4 linked regions of the Arabidopsis thaliana genome follow. The protein of the gene in region 3 interacts with the protein of the main gene of each other region in a pairwise test. Each region holds a gene or a part of one and is shown on either strand. Other genes may lie near its edges.

Region 1 (6,217 bases), on a different chromosome or scaffold from region 3:
GCGGATCCTAAAACTACATATCCGCCGGATACGGATACGGATCCGGATACTCCAAAAAACCCGGATATCCGGATCCGTAACAGGCCTAATCGTAGGTTGGTAAATTCTAGAAAAATAAGAGATATAAAAACTATATAGTTGTGACATATTCATTATTCAATATGAGCCATGGCTACACAAACTATATAGTTGTGACATTTTCATTATTCAATATGAGCCATGGCTACACAAACTATATAGCTGTGACATATCATACACAGAATAATATTCCCATGAATGCATGTATATATAGATCCTTTGGTTTTCCACCGAATAGTACAAACGTGTATATGATAAAAGTTTAGTCTTGAATTTTATAGATCTTACAAGATTGGGAAGACAGCCGTTTTCGGTACCAACTAAACCCGTAGTCACGGCCGGTCCATCTTAATATGCTGTCTAAAGCCCAAAAAATAAAAACTGGCCCATTATAAAACAAAGTTGAAAAAAATTGCGAGGTACAATTTATCAACTAAGTATTCTTCATCCGTCTAGACATCAAAAGAGTTCTAACTCTCTCCAAGAGATATCGATCTAGTGTTCTTTCTTAAGCCAATCGAAATGTTATTTATCCATCCTCAAATTAGCCAATTCCAAATATTGTTTTCAAATTATAGCCTTTTCCAAAGATTGTGTTTTCAATGAATAATTGTAGAAATTTAATTTTGATAGTTTTTTTATAAGAAAACTACGCAAAAAGTCCAGACTTAATATCCAAGGTGATATCTTTTCCAAGTCAATAGTTCATTGACTATTATGCGTATCTTCTATGTTTTAAAATAAAATAAATTTTGCTAGTTTAGAAATGTGATAATTATTGGAAGTATATCAATGGAATTTTTTATATCTCATTTAGTATGTCTAATTTTGAAAGTTATCTGTATTGAAAATGATTAAATATTCTTACCCTTATAAACCATATATCACTTCAAAATTTATGCTATTGTAGTATTGTTTATAGAAAAACGGAAAAATAAAAATCATTACAAATAAACGCGGCAATGAAACAGAAAAAATAAAAACCATTAAAAATAATCGCGGCAAATTTAAATAACGGCTATCGAAATAATGAAAATTATTTTTTGTTAACAAACATTTTTCTGGAGAAAGTTTTTAAAAATTGATTAAATATTCTTATAACTTTGTAAAATAATATTTTCAAAAACTTCTAAACTATCCTCAACTAATAAAATTTTATTTGCCACTTGCAATACAACTAAAACTTTGTTAGACCTTGTACGCAATAAAGAAAATATTTTTCAATGTCGATAGCTATCTCCATTCCAATGGCCCCCCTAGTCTATTCATCGATTCACAATCTTATCAATCATGTTCCGTCAATACACACTTTTCTAATTTCAACAATTTTATAATTGTTGCCCTCGTTACATTTAATTGTAATATTTTTGTTCTCCTCATGATAATATTATTCCATTATTGTATTCGACCATATCTATCTGCGTGTATTGACCGCCTCTTCAATTAAGTCACCACCCAATAAGATTTCGACGTTGACTGACCGACTTGTAGCTTTAATAAAGCCCACATGATTTGCTTTTCGTCCAAGCAAATTTTTGGTTAGAGAAAGAGGAAAAAAACTCAGGAACCGCCGACTTAAGAATTTCTTCTTCATCATCTCTCCAATATCGCCGATTATATATAAATGACTCTTCGATTCTGTTTCTTCTTCGTCGTCATCGCCGGCTTAGGGTTTTCTCTATAAGCAAATCTTATCTTCTCCTTTTCCTCCGTTTTTTCTGGTCAGCTTTTGCTTTTAGATTACCCTTGTTGCCTGCGATCGATCTGAAAAAAGAGGTCCGTCATGTTCATGTTCATGTTCAGTTTCTTTTCGTTTTGTTTCAATTCTTCTCATGCGATTTGAGGATTTTTTTTTTTATCTTGAATTGTTTTTTTTTGTTGAAGTCGATGATTGTAGATCGGCTTAGATTCGTTTGATTTTGAGTGGTTTTGTGTTGTTTTGATTGAGTTTTTGGATGATTCGTGTGATTATGCTTACGATCTGTGTTTTTTCGTCTCTGATTTTAGTTTATTTTGAAAATCAGTGAAACTGCGATTGATTTGGTTCGATTTGTGGATTTTGTGAAGCAACAGAGCTATTTTGACTTGAGAGATGAATTTTAATTTTTATTGAAAGCTAAAAAGTTGCTGGTTTGGATGTTGCAGGAACTTTATCTTGCTGACGGCTGTTATAAAAAGACGTGGCATTTCTTCTCTGATTGTGTTTATTTTTATGACGGAGAAGATGAACACACTTGTAATCTATCAGACTCTAACTGTTACTGTTGGGTGAGTTTCAAGCTCATGGCTTGGGTTTATTGTTCTCATTTTTCTGTGTTGGTGATTGGGTTTACTTGTTTTTGTTGGTTTGTTTCTGTGTTTATCTTTAGTGTCTCATAGGATCGTTCTTGTTGAGTGTGATGTTCATTTCTTATTGCTTCATTCCTATGTAGGTTGATTTGTACCTTCCGTCTTTGTAATGGATCTTTGTGCTCTTTATAACACAAGATACAACAAGAAGTAATGAAAGACTGTTCATAATGTTACTTACTGATGGAAATTGTAGCAAATGTCTTTTGTGAAGGAATGATATTACAGGATCATAGGTCTCATATAGTTATGCTGATTCTTTCTTGTTTACTGATTCTTTATCATGTAAACTGTGAGGAGTTTTTGTTTGACTCTATTCTCTGTAATATAGTTGTTCAATATTTTAAGCCTTTTCCATTTCTTTTGTGCAGTGTTTTCTAATGCTGTCGGCAAGACACTATCTTTAGGACTGCTAGGGAGTTTAGAGGTTACACAGTTGACTTTTTCTATCAAGGTTATAGGTTTAGTATTGTTAATATATAGAAATGGAAGCCAAGATCGTCAAGGTGTTGGATAGTAGTAGGTGTGAAGATGGATTCGGAAAAAAGAGGAAGCGCGCAGCAAGCTATGCTGCATATGTTACTGGAGTTTCGTGTGCAAAGCTGCAAAATGTGCCCCCACCGAACGGGCAGTGCCAAATTCCTGACAAAAGAAGAAGGCTGGAAGGTGAAAACAAGCTTAGCGCTTACGAGAATCGCTCTGGGAAGGCGCTGGTCAGATATTACACTTATTTTAAGAAGACTGGAATCGCTAAACGTGTTATGATGTATGAGAATGGCGAATGGAATGATTTGCCTGAGCACGTTATATGCGCCATCCAGAATGAATTAGAAGAAAAGAGCGCCGCAATTGAGTTCAAGTTATGCGGTCACAGTTTTATTTTGGACTTCTTGCACATGCAAAGACTAGACATGGAAACAGGAGCAAAAACCCCTCTTGCATGGATTGACAATGCAGGAAAGTGCTTTTTCCCTGAAATTTATGAGAGTGATGAAAGGACCAATTACTGCCATCATAAATGTGTGGAAGACCCAAAACAGAATGCTCCTCATGATATCAAACTTCGCCTAGAGATTGATGTTAATGGTGGCGAGACACCGAGGTTAAATTTGGAGGAGTGCAGTGATGAGTCTGGTGATAATATGATGGACGATGTTCCCCTTGCTCAACGATCTTCAAATGAGCACTATGACGAGGCTACGGAGGATAGCTGCAGCCGCAAGCTCGAAGCTGCTGTTTCGAAATGGGATGAGACTGATGCTATAGTCGTCTCTGGTGCCAAGCTTACGGGAAGCGAAGTACTTGATAAAGATGCAGTAAAAAAAATGTTTGCTGTAGGCACAGCTTCTCTAGGACATGTACCAGTGCTGGATGTGGGCCGTTTTTCCAGTGAGATTGCTGAAGCTCGTCTAGCACTTTTCCAGAAGCAGGTTGAGATCACTAAGAAACATCGAGGGGATGCAAACGTTAGGTATGCCTGGCTTCCTGCAAAGAGGGAAGTTTTATCAGCAGTGATGATGCAAGGACTTGGAGTTGGTGGAGCATTTATCAGAAAGTCCATCTATGGTGTTGGGATCCATTTAACCGCTGCAGACTGCCCTTATTTCAGGTATTTGCCTCGTATTCATCTGTTTTTTTCATGTTTAGATCGTATATTTTACCTTCCTCTGCAATAGGTTCTTTGTGTGTCAAGTACTAACTATGAACTTGTTTACAGTGCTAGATACTGTGATGTTGACGAAAACGGAGTACGTTACATGGTTTTATGCCGTGTGATTATGGGGAATATGGAGCTTCTTCGTGGTGATAAAGCTCAGTTCTTTTCTGGTGGAGAAGAATATGACAATGGAGTCGATGACATTGAGAGTCCAAAGAATTACATTGTCTGGAACATCAATATGAACACACATATATTCCCGGAATTTGTTGTTAGGTTCAAGCTGTCTAATCTCCCCAATGCTGAAGGTGATTAGTTTGTTCTTTTTTTTGTTCCTCACATTCTATCTTCCCCCATTCAAATCAACTGATGACGCATTGAAAGGGAGACAGCTTAGAGATCTGGCTGAAGCTCAGGTCTCAACTGATAAATTTAGAAAAAAAAGTTCCATGTGTGATAATGATAAACCTAACGACCTCCGGTGTTATAACACATTTGGGTTTCAAGAGACAAGTCTCTGATTCATCATCCGGGGGTCGGATGTGATACTCACGCCTTAATGGGTATTTCGATCCATCAAAATTATGTTTTGTGTAGTATTAGAAGTCCGATGACATACACTGGTTTCTGCAGGTAATTTGATTGCTAAGCGTGATAACTCAGGGGTCACTTTGGAAGGACCTAAGGATCTTCCTCCTCAATTGGAGTCAAACGTGAGTTTGGTTACTTCAGTTTTTCTTTGTATGATCTTATTAAAGAAGAGGGACTGAACAACTATATGTGGTGTTGTTGTGTTTAAAAAGCAGGGAGCAAGAGGTTCAGGAAGTGCAAACAGTGTTGGTTCAAGCACTACAAGACCCAAATCTCCATGGATGCCATTTCCTACTCTGTTTGCAGCAATCTCACATAAGGTTGCAGAGAACGACATGTTGTTGATCAATGCTGACTACCAACAACTGAGGGTATAGAAAAAAACTGATTCTGAGAGTTTGCTTTATGATTGGTAATTGCATAAGCTGGAATACATAAGAAATTTGTTGTGCAGGATAAGAAGATGACGAGAGCGGAGTTTGTCAGGAAACTGCGGGTGATTGTAGGAGATGATCTGCTAAGGTCCACCATAACAACCCTTCAAAACCAGGTAAGATAGTAGTAGTAGAGATATTGTTGTTGATCATAAGTTTACTTTGTAAACGGAAATGCTCAACAAAGGTTTTTTGGTTTTAACTTCAGCCAAAGTCGAAGGAGATTCCAGGAAGCATCAGAGACCATGAAGAAGGTGCAGGTGGATTGTAAGTAAAGTGGATGATGATGATGACGAATATCAAAAGGAAGCTGCTTTTTATCTATCTACCTGCCTTTGTGGTTCTCCTTTTGACTTTTTCTAATTTTAGACTTTTGGTTTTGGGTCGGGTCGTTGGTAGAGTTTAAAATGTGTCGACTTTTCTTTCTGTCGTGAAAAATCGTACTATATTATATGATTCTACTTAGTCAATGATGTCGTTGGGTCTTTGTTTCTTTAGCTGCAAGCAAAACATTGTTGTGGAAGTCGTTGAATCTTGACGAAAATTTGGTCGTTAAGCCTATCGCGTGAAACTTTTCTTCACTATACTTTTTCTCATTATTCTGTTAGCTTTATTAGATGCCTCACATTTGTGTGAAGGATTATTTAAGAGTATGATAACTGGTCACCTCTGGGTTCCTTTGACACTTGTGTACTACGGGTAAATCAAGACTAGAGGAATACCAGGAGAAAATAGTGTTGGTCCTCTCCTCCCCTTTAGAGCTCTATATGATGCGCACTGAGTAAGCTTGGCCTCTGACGATGAGAAGCTAGTGGATATCTCGATATTCTAGGTCCAATCAGTTCGATTTTATGGAGTCTCTGTGGAGTAGAGTAAACGGTCAGTTTGGGATCTCTTTCTCTATAACAGCGATTTGGAATCTGATCCGAGTGGTTCACCCAAAAGTACAATGGTTCTGGCTGTTTTCTTTTCATGGTTATAATCTGAAGCATTATTTTATTCCTTTTTGTTTGTGTTGTGAGTCGGCATTTTAGCTTTAAACGAATTTAAAACCGAGGAATTGATGATGAGCCTAACTCTTGCATATTACAGAGGATTGGAGCCATGT
Region 2 (2,746 bases), on a different chromosome or scaffold from region 3:
ACAAAATGGCAAATCTCTCTACTTTGATCACGATAGCTCTCCTCCTTTGCGCCACCATGCTAACGTGCAGCGCCCGCCCTGAACCTGCCTACTTCGCCTCCTTCACAACCTCTCCGGCGGATACACTTAGTCTGGTTAGTATTATATGCGTAAACACATGTTGAATGTTGATTCATGCGTAGTTATATATTTTCGTTTGTAATTTTATGTTTCATTGTGTTTCATCAGGAAATGATAGAATCAAAATTACATGAGGTGGCGGGAGAGAGCTGCGATAAAGAAGACGACGAAGATTGCTTGGTGAGAAGAACATTGACGGCTCATCTTGATTATATCTACACACATAAGAATAATCATCATTAATTAGCTGTAAAATTATTCTAACGTTAATTGTTGTGAATTTCAAATTATTCTCACATGTTAAACATGTGTATATAGAATCATTGATTAATTCAATTTATTCTTTTAATGAAAATATCAAATTATTCCCAATGTAGTTAGAATCCTTAATCAATCCAATTATGTTTTATTTTAATCAAAAGTCTTAACTCCCACAAATTATGTGTGTGTTACAGATAAATGACATAACAAATTAATTCTAGAATGCGAGTCTGAAAAATATATGATTACATCTTTCTGGTTTATTAAAAACAAACTAAAAATAAATACAAGAATGTTAAGCATTTCAATCAAAAGAAGCATTTTGCAAGAGTAGAAGCTACCATCTGGAAATATTTGCAGGATTTTGGAATGAGAAATCTCCCCAAGATGATGATGGATCAAACGCAAATGACGAAGAACTCTGCTTTGCTGCATCATCCGAAGTCTTGAGCGGTTTAGCCTGCACAGTCTCGTGCTCAGGTGCACCGGTTAGCCTCTGAACCAACACTTTGAAGTTTACTGGCTCGACTCGGTAGACATGAGGATGCATTGGATTCAAAGGTGATGATATTGCAGGCCTCTTCAAGGGCTTTGAAGGTTGTTTACGTGTCGAATGGAGCGAAGTTAGGTAATTTTTCGTTGCCCTTGTGGTGGTTTCTTGAGCGTTAAGGTAACTCTGAGACATAAATTGTTGTGATGTTGCTTCCATTGAGACTTGAGATGTCGCTTAAAATTCTTTGAATGTGAAAGTTATGTTCTTCTGATATTTATTGATCTTTGAATGTGAAAGTTATGTTCTTCTGATATATAATGATGGATGTGCAACATGTTCAACGAGGGTCAAGCCTTTGGTTTTTGACTCTTATTAGGGAATTGACTATTGAGAACATTGTTTGTTTTTCTTAGTTTTGTTTATGAGAATCATAAGTGAAAGGGGAATTTTCAACGTGTGTGTTCTTAATATTTTATTGATTTGATAGTTTTCGAAGTTTCTGATTAGGATTAAACTATTAAGAGGAAGATTCTTTAATCAAACTGAATTAATACTTTATCAAATATTATAATAAAGAAAGCTGTGGCTGTCCACGTGACGGTTTGATATTATCTGTAATGGTAAGAAGATTAAGTACTTATCAATAGCCTTCGGATTTGAATCTAATCGGATTCCTTGATCTTTTTATTTTATTTACTTTTATAACAAGTAATCTATTAGCCGTAACAAAAAAACAAACTAATCTATTATTTTGATTTCTAGTAATACAGTGCGCATAAGAGTCACGTCAGTCGGAACGTTAGAGAAAAAGGTAAATTTGAACGTTACATAACGGTAACTCTTTTGGTTTATTTCTTTAACTACGATGCTCTAGATATCTTTCAGATTTAAAACATTTGAGATATATATATATTTGGAAGAGGTCACATAAGATGATAATAACAAAGAAGCTTAACCTCTGTTCTCGTGGTTATTTGATTTGGTAGATTAGTCTTAAAATTGTCTTGAAATGGAAAATAAATTAGGCAGTCTTGAAAGAATCTACTTGAATTTAATTGTTCATATTGATATATAGGAAAAATAACAATCCTAGTTCTGTTTTATTAAGAAGATTAGTTTCTTTGAAAAACTAAAATATATGTCTGAAATGGATATTTGGGCATAAAGGTTTTTATTTTATTTTTAGATTAGTATATGATACTTGCATGATTATGTTGCACATAGTTTTCTGAAATTCAGAAGGCGTTGTAATGAAAATTTTGATTTGATTTTTGCAGGTTTTTTAGAAGAGCATAAACTCAACCGGAGTATGTAAAGAAAACGCCTTGATGATGAAAGTGATGATGTGCAGATGGAGTAGTGATGGAAGGAGAATGTCATAGAAGAGAGAAATCTAAATGCATCATTGGGATTGTGCCGTGCCATACTTTGATTGAGTGTGGAATGTGTATATATCAGATGTGTGACGAATGCTTGTAAAATATATTGATTCAAACTATATATCAAACTCAAGAATAAGAACAAGATTATGAATAAAAGACTCTCTCTTTTATTGCTTTAAGAAAATAACTCAAAACCTAAAAACACACAATCTTAATCTCTCAACTCATAAGTTTTGCAACACTCTTGCAACTCCTTTATATAAGAAAAGAACTAGACAATTTCCTAATCCTATTAGGAAAACACACATAAGTATTTAGGCAACTTCCTAAACACAAAGTCTAATTTTAATTTCCTTTTTGCTTGATTGCTTCTTCTTCAAGTAAGCTTCAAGCTTACTCCAACATTTTCCCCCTTAAGCTTGAAGCTACACTTTGTCATATCTTGAACTCCCACAAGATCTCTCATCTCTTTGAACTTGATTCTCCCGAG
Region 3 (5,311 bases):
CTAATAAAAGTTCTTCTATTCAATAATAACTTTCGAAATTTCTATTCTACAAGAAGTGAGATTTGAATATCCTTGTATGGACCTTCAGAGCTATAATCATCACAAGGTCGGCGGCGGGAGCAGATCGGAGAGACGGAAAAGGCGGAGAGGAAAAAGGCGAGCGGCGGAATTGAAATTCAGATTGAAAACTATAATATAACGAAGAACTTCATGATCCCCTCAGTTTTTGTTATTTCTTATCCACATACTTCTCCGCCGCTTCTAGCCTTTCATTCCTACCACCATCCGTCTACTTCCATCGCCGCCACCGCCGCCTGAATGTTTCAGAACGGTCTCTTATAGAGTTAGGGTTTTGACGTTTTGTTCGGCCCTTTTCTCTGATAAATTTGTATTTTTCGGACTAAACTGGGCCGTATCTTAGGCCCAATAACGCATCTCCACAACACAGTACAATATCTGTTATATGACATGACTTAAAACTTTTGGGCCTTTTCTGATAAATTCAATTTGCTAATGTCATTCTATTTAATGTGATGTTATCTTCATCCTATGAATATGCATATTCATAAATATTTAATGTATGTATATGGTTCCTTAATCAATGATGATTGATAGATTCGTTCCTTCGTCGAAATCTAATGTATATGCATAGAATTAATTCATATATCGGTTTAGAAGATGATGGAATTAATTATCCAACTAGGCGACGACTTATATGTCGACATGAGTTATAAATTCAAATACAACGACATCATTTGAGTCAAATGCAAACAAAAATTATAAGAAAAATAAAATAGCAATCGAAGGGTTTTGGGGTTTTATGATTTATGGCTGGCATCTGTGTAACCGTGTTCCTCTTTGCTTGATTGGGATAACAACGTTTTACATGTATCGTCCACGACGAACGAATCTATCTATCAACTTAATTCATCCAACTAGCAAATAGCAACTTGCATACAAAATAATTTATCAAAAAAAAAAAAAACTTGCATACGGAAGAAAAAGTGTTATTATTCAGCAATTTTCACTAAACTACTCATATTTAAATTCCATATTTTGCACTAAATTACTATTTCTATGGCTGGAAACAAAAACTGAGTTACTTGGCTCATGGCCTTCTATAGCCTTGAATGGACGCTATTACGACCTCGTCTCTTTCGTGGAAAAAGCAAATGAGGGCCAAAGACTTTTAAAGGGAAATGTCTCCTTTCGGTGGATGCTTTCTTCACAAATGCACCCACTATATATGTCTGTCTGTCTACTTGTAAGTTGCAATGTAATATATTCATGAATTTATCATACTAATAATATGTTTGTTTATCATTAGATCGGTAGGGGTTATGCACATTAAACGATAAGATTGATGTGATAAGGGTTAGAAACTGATCTACTGTTAAATTATTGTGATAAGGATCGGAAATTAATGTGATCATAATTTTGGTGGACCATTGTTTGTCTGTGGTCCATGACAAACAAGTCACAACGGTCCACGGTTTATTACGACATTGTGAATTTGTGATTGCATATTTAGGTTCAAAACTGTTATTAATATCCAAAATTTTGTGTATAATTAATAAATTCCAAATTCACAATCAACTAAAAGTTATATGTATAAACTTGCAGTTGTTTAGAGAATGATAATAACACAAAAACTTACGATGGTAGCTTTAACTAGTCAACACGTGAAATAAATGCGATGTGGAAATTTGCCGGGGGAAAAAATGATGACTTCTCAAGATTATTTCCGCTCGGGTTTTAATGAGACTCTGACATGAAATTGAATTCAGATGATTATAAAACGGTTCATATATTCATATAGTAGATGATGATATAAACTCATCGAAGCATCGTAGAAAATAGAGAACTTCAATTTGTTTTTTGTTTACCATTATTAGAGATACTATTCGCTGAAAGAGAAGCATAAGAGGGGTGTTATGATTTGACAAAAACACCCTTAATCATTGGTCAAGACTCAAAGAGTGTTGCAGATAAGGTACAGATCAGAAACCCACCTCTAGAAATCGAGCAATAGATCTCTCTCAACTTCACAGACAAAATCCAACCGAGTTGGTGGGTCTCACTAACTCTTTAACTAGTTGTCTGACAATTCGCCACGTGTCGGTCATCCTGATCAGTTTCAGTACTATTGCCCCCACCGAATCATTATCTCCCCCTCGCTCACTCGCTTACTTACCGTAATAATCTCTCTGCTTCCCTCCTCTAGCTCTTGTCCCTTTCTGTCTGAACCTGGCAAGAAGAACCTTAGCCTCTCTTTCTTCTTTCTCTCTCTCTCTCTCTGTGTTACTGTTCTGTTTCAACTTTACTCCCTCAGTTTCAGAACAATTCCCTATCTAGAAGAGAGATAAAACCGAGAAGGTTTTGGAGATAGAATCTTTTGTTCTTCTTTTGTCCCTCCTTGCTCGATTTTTGTTACGTGTGAAGCAATAAAAAAAAACTGATATAGCTAAATCTTCCATCCATTCAGAGGCTTCTAAATCTGGTAATTACTTTTATAGCTTCCCCTTAGTAAGAGTTTACTATATATAGAATTAGTTGCTTTATTAAATCATTTCCTCCTAGATTGTTGGAGAGGGTTGTTTGGTTTAATTATTTTCTAATCATTAAACTGTTGGGATTTCGAATAATCTTTTCTAAGTTGATTGCTTTCATCATCCTTTTTCCTCAAATCTCCTGTTAATCATTATACTAATTATGAATCAAATCATTTCTTATTCACTTACAAAAAAGTAATATATTCTTTATTTAAGTGTCTTTACAGATCTGACATGGAACAAGTGTTTGCTGATTGGAATTTTGAAGATAATTTTCACATGTCCACTAATAAAAGATCAATCAGGTATATATCAATTTTCCAATTCAAGTATTTCATAATTATATACCAATTTCACATCTTAATCATAGCTATTTAAGTATTGTTTGTTTAAAATATGTTTGTAAACATTCATATGTTGGGACAGACCAGAAGATGAATTAGTGGAGCTATTGTGGAGAGATGGTCAAGTGGTTTTACAAAGCCAAGCTCGTAGAGAACCGTCAGTCCAAGTCCAAACCCACAAACAAGAAACCCTAAGAAAACCCAACAATATTTTTCTTGACAACCAAGAAACAGTACAAAAGCCTAACTACGCTGCTCTAGATGATCAAGAAACCGTCTCCTGGATACAATACCCTCCGGATGACGTCATCGACCCTTTCGAATCCGAGTTCTCCTCTCATTTCTTCTCTTCGATCGATCACCTCGGAGGTCCTGAGAAGCCACGAACGATCGAAGAGACAGTTAAGCATGAGGCTCAAGCCATGGCTCCTCCTAAGTTTAGATCCTCGGTTATAACAGTCGGACCGAGTCATTGCGGCAGCAACCAGTCAACAAATATTCATCAGGCCACTACACTTCCGGTTTCTATGAGTGATAGAAGCAAGAACGTCGAAGAAAGACTTGACACTTCGTCAGGTGGCTCCTCCGGTTGCAGCTATGGAAGGAACAACAAAGAAACCGTTAGTGGAACAAGTGTAACCATTGACCGTAAAAGAAAACATGTTATGGATGCTGATCAAGAATCTGTGTCTCAATCAGATATAGGTTTGACCTCAACCGATGATCAAACCATGGGTAACAAATCGAGCCAACGGTCAGGATCTACTCGAAGAAGCCGTGCAGCTGAAGTTCATAATCTCTCAGAAAGGGTATACATATACTATTTCTGACTAGTTGATCAACCATTCAGTAATAATAATTCTGATGTGATCTTTGTCTATTAATTACAGAGGAGGAGAGATCGGATCAATGAAAGAATGAAAGCTCTTCAAGAACTCATACCTCACTGCAGCAGAGTAAGTTTTTTCATCACAAAAAAACTGAGTTAATTAAGCTGTAATTGATTGGTGTGTTTAAATATGGTTTTGTCTTCTTCTTTTTTTGTGTAGACAGATAAAGCTTCGATATTGGATGAAGCAATTGATTACTTAAAATCACTTCAAATGCAACTCCAAGTGATGTGGATGGGAAGTGGAATGGCGGCGGCGGCAGCAGCAGCAGCAAGTCCGATGATGTTTCCCGGGGTACAATCATCTCCATACATTAATCAGATGGCTATGCAAAGTCAGATGCAATTGTCTCAATTCCCGGTTATGAACCGGTCCGCTCCGCAGAACCATCCCGGTTTAGTATGTCAAAACCCGGTACAGTTGCAGCTCCAAGCACAGAACCAAATCTTATCGGAGCAGCTCGCTAGGTACATGGGCGGGATTCCCCAGATGCCGCCGGCGGGAAATCAGGTCAGTTGCAGACGGCATCGTTTTGAAGAAAGACAAATATATTTATTTAATATCTGACGTGTCATGTTTTAAATTAGATGCAGACCGTGCAACAACAACCAGCGGACATGTTGGGATTTGGATCTCCGGCGGGACCGCAAAGTCAACTGTCGGCACCGGCGACCACCGACAGTCTTCATATGGGTAAAATAGGCTGACTTGGCATATAGTTTTCCTCCGAAATTATTCTTCTTACAGTTGGTGATTGTTATTTATTTTTGGTCGCCTAAGCAAGCATAAAAGCTAAGTCAAATGTATTATAGAGATCTAATAAGTTAGTCTCATACTTATAACTTATTTTTAAACAGTTGAATTATAGTATCAATCAAGTGTTGGGAACCTAAAGATCATACATGTGTCAATACTTTTATATTTGTTCTCAAGGTTCATCAGAAAAACAAAATAAAAAGGATAGACTAGGCCTGCATTTGACATTATCATGGGCTTTTTTGGGTCTATGAATATGAACATTAACCCATATTACTGCTCAAAACGCATACGTTATACAAAAAACGGAAAACGCTAACGTGGTTTACTCCACCACGATTCGTACGTAACGACTAGCGAGTCCCATACCTACTCGATTTTTAGTTTCCTCAAGTTAACGGTGAAATCAAATTACCGATTATGTCCTTCTAAAGTGACACGTGTCTTACAAGAGGAGCGAGTTTATCCTAATCACATACTCGAGCGTGTAGGTTTCCGATTAAAGCGAAGCAGAAAAAAATTACTAAAATAATAAAAACGTATAGAATGTGATTAATTAAGTCAACCAATAAGCATCTTACAAATCAGCACTCTGAAAACAAACACGATTATTAATAGAAAAAGCTGCGACCCGACTCCTGAGCCTCTCTCTTTCTATCGCTCTTTGATTTTGTTTCTCATTGTTTTGCTTCAAATTACGCATTCGAATCTGATCTTCGTTGATCTCTGTGGAAGAAACAGATAAGAGAAAATCGCATGAATTTTTTTA
Region 4 (5,955 bases), on a different chromosome or scaffold from region 3:
CCAAAACTCTTAGGACATAGTTGAATTCCTTGTCGTGTAAACTAGATCCCAAGCTTTTACACGACCAGGAGAAAAACCTCAACAGCCTTCTCGGTGAAGTCTCGTTCTTGCAAGACTCAATCACTTGGGTAACAAGGTTTGATGATGGAGAAACAGAAACCTGGTTCAAGTTTTCTTCAAGGTCATCTAGACCACCAACTGGAGAAGAAACTATCCGAATAACTTCATGCAACGCCGTTTCCGATCGGTCAACTAAATGGTGAGAGCAAAAGTAACGTGTCAGTTTTGCAGTACTCGTTAGATACGTAAACCTGTTTAATCTGACTGTGGTGGACATCATCTTCTCTGAGGAATTTCATCAAACACTTGATATGCGTATGCTTCTTAAAAGCCGCCAAATATAAACCATAGAAGGGACTCTCTCCTGACTTACATGTTTCTCAGAGTATTTACAACTTCGTTGTAAATTCTTTCAGCAACATGAAATTCAGATTTCTATTAAAAGACCTAAATTTGCAGATTTCATGAGATCGCTCGGCTCAACAACAATATATATTCATTTGTTGGAAACATTGCCCGCGTGTCTGAAAAGGGCATTTTAGTCTTTTACATTCCATCACGCTTCAAATTCAGAACCGGATAAAACCGATAATCGTGAGATACGATGGTTATAACTTATAAGTCACTAACCGGAATGATTACTCTCGAAGGCCGCCGATGCATATTGGAAAATCGAACTCCCGATAAAATAGTTCTGAAATTACACGAATAATTAACATCATAAAGTCATAAACAAGTTATTGGTCAATGGTCGATGGCAAAACGTAATAAAAGTTGGACCGGGACAAAACGTGTCTTACGGTGGATGAAGTTGAGAATATATCATGCATTATTGGTCCACTTGTACTAACGATATTCGCAGCTACTAATATGAGCCAATCGGTAATACGAAATATTTTAGCTTGTCGACTACTTACTTTCTATATAAAAGTTTAGCCTACTAATTATCTCTTTTTATGATTATGACAACTTGATTATTTGTTTCCCAACCACTGATGATGAGATTAACCATCTTTTTTGCTAAGAAGGTAAATATTTCATCTTGCTAATGTCCTGTTTACAAGACAATTTGCACACATACACTTATAACATTAGAAAAAAACACTTGAAACTTTGTTACAACATATCATTTAGCTTGATTTTTCAATCACTTTAAGAAGTTAATGAATCATAATGCCTAAATAAGTCCTCTATAACAACCATGAAAGGAGTGTTATATCTATAACCCTGTGCTTTTAGAAAGAATCATAATTTTTAGGAGTCTTTTGTGATGAGAAATTGAGATGTAATAAAAGTAAAATTTTCTATATCTGTATCTTTCGTTTTTTATTTTTATTTTGTTTGTATCTTTAATTCTTCAGTACCTAAAGATAACAGAAAAATAAAATTCTGATAATAGATTTTCTTGTTGTTATAAATATATTTTAATAAACGAAACGAAGCCGAATCCTAAAATTTGGTTTCTGATGGTTTGGTCTGATCTGGTCATATATTTTAAAAGAATTTGCAATTTTTTCTTTCTGTCGACCTTTTGATATGTTTGTTGATTTTGATATGGAGATGCATCTTCTTATCTTGTATCTTACCACAATAATATCAAAAACAAAAATAAATATCATGAGATATTTTCTCCAAGATGACGTGGCCTTTTCTCTATCTCAACCAAACTATCCAACACAACCTTTTTTTTTATGGCCTGCACTTTTTATTGTCCACGTCATCTCCTTGGCCTAAAATATCCCAAGTCCCACCATTAAGCTACACAACAACGCGTAAGAAAAAGACTTAATCTCCACCGTCCAATTCTATCCTCTTTCAACGGTCTCTGATTTACCATCTCTCTCTCTCTTTTTCGCGTCTCATAATTTGACCATTGATTGACAAAACAAAACAATGAGTCTTCTTTCTCTTCTCACTCTTCTTGTCGGAAATTCACCTTCTCTCTCTCTCCTCCTCATCTCACCGCCGGCGTTACGCCGGATCTCCGGTGACTTTTGTTGAGCTTTTTTGTTGATTCATGATTCGATATAGAGAAAAAAGAATTTCCTATTTCAGCTCTTTGTTCTTAGATTTATCTTTTTGTTTGTTCTTATGGATAAAGGATTAGGTTGGGGGATTAAAAGAGTAGTTTTTGTTTGGTTGTGAGATTACTTGACTTTGTTAAGGGGATAAATTAGGCGACTTTGTAGGGACACTGTACCGAAAAACCCTAGTTCTGATTTGGCCATGGAAGTATCATAGCACTTACTATTGTCGGCTTTACTTCTTCTACTTTTGTATAATCCTTTTTTTTCTTAGGTTCTGTGATTAGATATTTTTTTTGTGTGGGTTTAGTTGTTAATCTGATCATGGATTTGAACGGTGAGTGTAAAGGAGGAGATGGGTTTATTGATAGAAGCAGAGTCAGGATTTTGCTTTGTGACAATGATTCCACGAGTTTGGGAGAGGTTTTTACTCTCCTTTCAGAGTGTTCTTATCAAGGTATGATTTATAGGTTTGTCCTTGTCTTGTTCCCAAAGTTTCTCTTTTTACTTTGTTATTTTTTGCTAAGTTGGGATTACTACTTTAGATTGCAGATCTCTTATAGGTTCTTGTCGTCTGGCTTTTTGAGTCAGTATGGTCAGATGTGATCAAGATGACATTTTTAACCTTTGTTGATTTTAGTACCTTATTGATAGTTTTTGAATGCATCTCTAGTGTGTATTGCTTTCTATTTTTACACTATGCTCAACTGTTTGTTGTTCAAGACTCAATGATGATATATTGGATGAATTGTTTTTATTCTTTTTGGAATGCAGTGACTGCAGTGAAATCAGCAAGGCAGGTGATTGATGCACTTAATGCAGAGGGACCTGATATCGATATAATACTGGCGGAAATTGATCTCCCAATGGCTAAGGGTATGAAGATGCTGAGGTACATCACACGAGACAAAGATCTTCGCAGAATCCCTGTGATAAGTAAGCTGTGTTCTTTGTTGCTCTTCTCGTTTTATTATCTATTCGTGAAGTTGTATCTTCTCTGCTTATCAAAGTGCTTTTGACAGCATGATCATTAGCTTTATACTGACTAATCTTATAATATTCTCAATTTAAGTGATGTCGAGGCAAGACGAAGTCCCTGTCGTTGTAAAGTGCTTGAAGCTAGGTGCAGCTGACTACCTTGTGAAGCCTCTTCGCACCAACGAGCTTCTGAACTTGTGGACACACATGTGGAGAAGAAGACGCATGGTTTGTTTTGCTTGTCTCAAGTTCTCTCTATTTATCTTACTGTTTTTGAGCAATACTTGATAGCCATATCTCTCAATCTGTCGTCTTCTGAAATAAAAGACCTTGATGCATGAAGTTAATGCTATTGATTTCATATATTTGTTTTGGCAGCTAGGACTTGCTGAGAAGAATATGTTGAGCTATGATTTTGATCTTGTGGGATCTGATCAAAGTGATCCAAACACAAATAGTACCAACCTGTTCTCTGACGACACAGATGATAGAAGTCTTAGGTCCACCAACCCACAGAGAGGAAATTTAAGTCACCAGGAAAATGAGGTGAGAAAGTATTTGACAGTTTAAAGCCCTCTGAAAATGGAGAAGAACTGATTTTTTAGCTTGCGCTCATGCTTTTGCTGGTAGTGGTCTGTTGCTACTGCTCCTGTTCATGCTCGTGATGGTGGTCTTGGTGCTGATGGAACAGCCACTTCTTCTCTTGCTGTTACTGCTATAGAGCCTCCATTGGATCATCTTGCTGGGTCTCACCATGAGCCAATGAAAAGAAATAGTAATCCAGGTGATTGTTTCTCTTTGATGTCTCACTTTCTAATAGCTAGTCTCTAAAAGAACCTTTGTTTTAGTGAATTCTAATATAGTAGGGGTTTTGCAGCGCAATTTTCTTCAGCACCGAAGAAAAGTAGATTGAAGATCGGAGAGTCCTCTGCTTTCTTTACATATGTCAAATCTACTGTCCTTAGAACTAACGGTCAGGATCCTCCTCTTGTCGATGGAAATGGCTCACTTCATCTTCATCGGGGTTTGGCGGAGAAGTTTCAAGTGGTGGCTAGTGAAGGGATCAACAACACCAAACAAGCACGCAGAGCAACACCAAAATCTACTGTCCTTAGAACTAACGGTCAGGATCCTCCTCTTGTCAATGGAAATGGCTCACATCATCTTCATCGGGGTGCGGCGGAAAAGTTTCAAGTGGTGGCTAGTGAAGGGATCAACAACACCAAACAAGCACACAGAAGTAGAGGGACCGAGCAATACCATTCTCAAGGAGAGACCTTGCAGAATGGCGCCAGCTATCCACATTCCCTTGAGCGGTCACGCACGCTTCCCACATCAATGGAATCTCATGGTAGGAACTACCAAGAGGGCAATATGAATATTCCCCAAGTTGCTATGAACAGAAGTAAAGATTCGTCTCAAGTTGATGGATCGGGTTTCTCTGCACCAAATGCCTATCCTTACTATATGCATGGGGTCATGAACCAAGTTATGATGCAATCAGCAGCCATGATGCCTCAATATGGTCATCAAATTCCTCATTGCCAACCAAATCATCCGAATGGAATGACGGGATATCCTTACTACCACCACCCAATGAACACATCTTTGCAGCATAGTCAGATGTCTTTACAGAATGGTCAGATGTCTATGGTTCATCATTCTTGGTCACCGGCAGGAAATCCGCCTTCTAATGAGGTGAGGGTAAATAAACTTGACAGAAGAGAGGAAGCTCTGCTGAAATTCAGACGTAAAAGGAACCAACGTTGTTTTGATAAGAAGATTAGGTATGTGAATAGGAAACGCCTTGCTGAGAGGAGACCCCGCGTTAAGGGTCAGTTTGTTAGGAAGATGAACGGCGTGAATGTTGATTTAAATGGACAGCCTGACTCTGCTGACTATGATGACGAGGAAGAGGAGGAAGAAGAAGAAGAAGAGGAGAACCGGGATTCATCTCCTCAGGATGATGCTTTGGGAACTTGAAGATACACCAAGAACTGAAAACCGTTGTGTTATACGTATTTGCTTGCATCTTATCAAACAACAGAAGATGTTGATCGACTGACACGAAAAAGATGATACTGCTACAGCCAAAAAAACATCGAATATCGAGTTGTCTCTAAGGCAATGTTGGCTCTTGCGGCTCAACTTTTTGACAGAGCATTGAAAAGCTCTCATTGGGTTTAGCTTAGTTCGTTGATAAACATATAATGTATTTTATCATGTTCACTCACATTCTCTCAGTAAGTACTCAGATGTATTAACCTTTCTTCTCCTTCCAGTATCATTTACTTGAATCTTGTTTTTCCCTCGCTCTCTCACCTGTGTTTACATATATAATTATATATAATCGCTCCATGTCTTCCACCACTAAAGCTTCTGTCTTTCCTCGGAAAAACACAATACAAATGCAATTGTGTCACAGACAAGAAGCATATGAAAATCTAAATTTGGATTTAAGTTATCTGAAACTAAGAACATAATCAGCTGTATATCTACTGTCAGGAACAACAGTTCTGTGTTTCTTTCATGACTACATAAATAAATCTCTACAGTCCACTAAACTCTGATTTCTTTAATTCTCTGTGGTGCTATTGAGTAAGGTCCACTAATGTATAACAAGCTTTCTAGCAACTAGACGGATTCCGGCTCTCTGCTGATAATCATATGGCTCCAGAGACAAGAAAGCGTCAAGAACAGTTCTCGGATTCAACAAAGACTCAATCTCTTCAGCCTTGGGGTTGCTAGAAATGAGTTTCTGAGTAGCAGTAGCTCCAGAGAACTCTTTCTGGTGTATCTCAGCTGCGTACCGATCTATATCTCCATTTAACTCTGTGGGTATACTGCACATACAAAGAAATAATCAGGAAAAAAAGCAAATGAAATAAGTAAA

What was found.
Region 1: the proteins of PIL6 (region 3) and RCD1 interact in a two-hybrid assay, tested with the Arabidopsis thaliana proteins (one study listed by BioGRID).
Region 2: the proteins of PIL6 (region 3) and AT4G37710 interact in a two-hybrid assay, tested with the Arabidopsis thaliana proteins (one study listed by BioGRID).
Region 4: the proteins of PIL6 (region 3) and TOC1 interact in a two-hybrid assay, tested with the Arabidopsis thaliana proteins (3 studies listed by BioGRID).

What each region holds. Positions count from the first base shown.
Region 1 is NC_003070.9:11,610,515-11,616,731, forward strand, and holds RCD1 (WWE protein-protein interaction domain protein family), read left to right. Parts: upstream 1-1,603; 5' UTR 1,604-1,854; intron 1,855-2,223; 5' UTR 2,224-2,346; exon of another isoform or gene 2,347-2,798; 5' UTR 2,799-2,912; coding exon 2,913-4,036; intron 4,037-4,144; coding exon 4,145-4,392; intron 4,393-4,717; coding exon 4,718-4,797; intron 4,798-4,887; coding exon 4,888-5,046; intron 5,047-5,129; coding exon 5,130-5,225; coding exon of another isoform or gene 5,226-5,234; exon of another isoform or gene 5,235-5,317; coding exon 5,318-5,380; 3' UTR 5,381-5,704; downstream 5,705-6,217. UniProt on the Arabidopsis thaliana protein: Inactive ADP-ribosyltransferase that functions with SRO1 to regulate oxidative stress, hormonal and developmental responses. Required for embryogenesis, vegetative and reproductive development, and abiotic stress responses.
Region 2 is NC_003075.7:17,716,578-17,719,323, reverse strand, and holds AT4G37710 (VQ motif-containing protein), read right to left. Parts: upstream 1,197-2,746; 5' UTR 1,091-1,196; coding exon 719-1,090; 3' UTR 553-718; downstream 1-552. Other genes in the region: PSK6 (phytosulfokine 6 precursor), read left to right, coding at 6-134, 229-363. UniProt on the Arabidopsis thaliana protein: May function as negative regulator of flowering transition.
Region 3 is NC_003074.8:21,827,371-21,832,681, reverse strand, and holds PIL6 (phytochrome interacting factor 3-like 6), read left to right. Parts: upstream 1-1,844; 5' UTR 1,845-2,500; exon of another isoform or gene 2,501-2,779; 5' UTR 2,780-2,786; coding exon 2,787-2,857; intron 2,858-2,978; coding exon 2,979-3,705; intron 3,706-3,786; coding exon 3,787-3,852; intron 3,853-3,945; coding exon 3,946-4,296; intron 4,297-4,373; coding exon 4,374-4,493; 3' UTR 4,494-4,777; downstream 4,778-5,311. Other genes in the region: AT3G59070 (Cytochrome b561/ferric reductase transmembrane with DOMON related domain-containing protein), read left to right, coding at 124-318. UniProt on the Arabidopsis thaliana protein: Transcription factor acting negatively in the phytochrome B signaling pathway to promote the shade-avoidance response. Regulates PHYB abundance at the post-transcriptional level, possibly via the ubiquitin-proteasome pathway.
Region 4 is NC_003076.8:24,673,132-24,679,086, forward strand, and holds TOC1 (CCT motif -containing response regulator protein), read left to right. Parts: upstream 1-1,831; 5' UTR 1,832-2,408; coding exon 2,409-2,541; intron 2,542-2,858; coding exon 2,859-3,020; intron 3,021-3,156; coding exon 3,157-3,290; intron 3,291-3,440; coding exon 3,441-3,608; intron 3,609-3,692; coding exon 3,693-3,846; intron 3,847-3,939; coding exon 3,940-5,045; 3' UTR 5,046-5,419; downstream 5,420-5,955. Other genes in the region: AT5G61370 (Pentatricopeptide repeat (PPR) superfamily protein), read right to left, coding at 1-340; AT5G61390 (Polynucleotidyl transferase, ribonuclease H-like superfamily protein), read right to left, coding at 5,671-5,905. UniProt on the Arabidopsis thaliana protein: Controls photoperiodic flowering response. Component of the circadian clock. Expression of several members of the ARR-like family is controlled by circadian rhythm.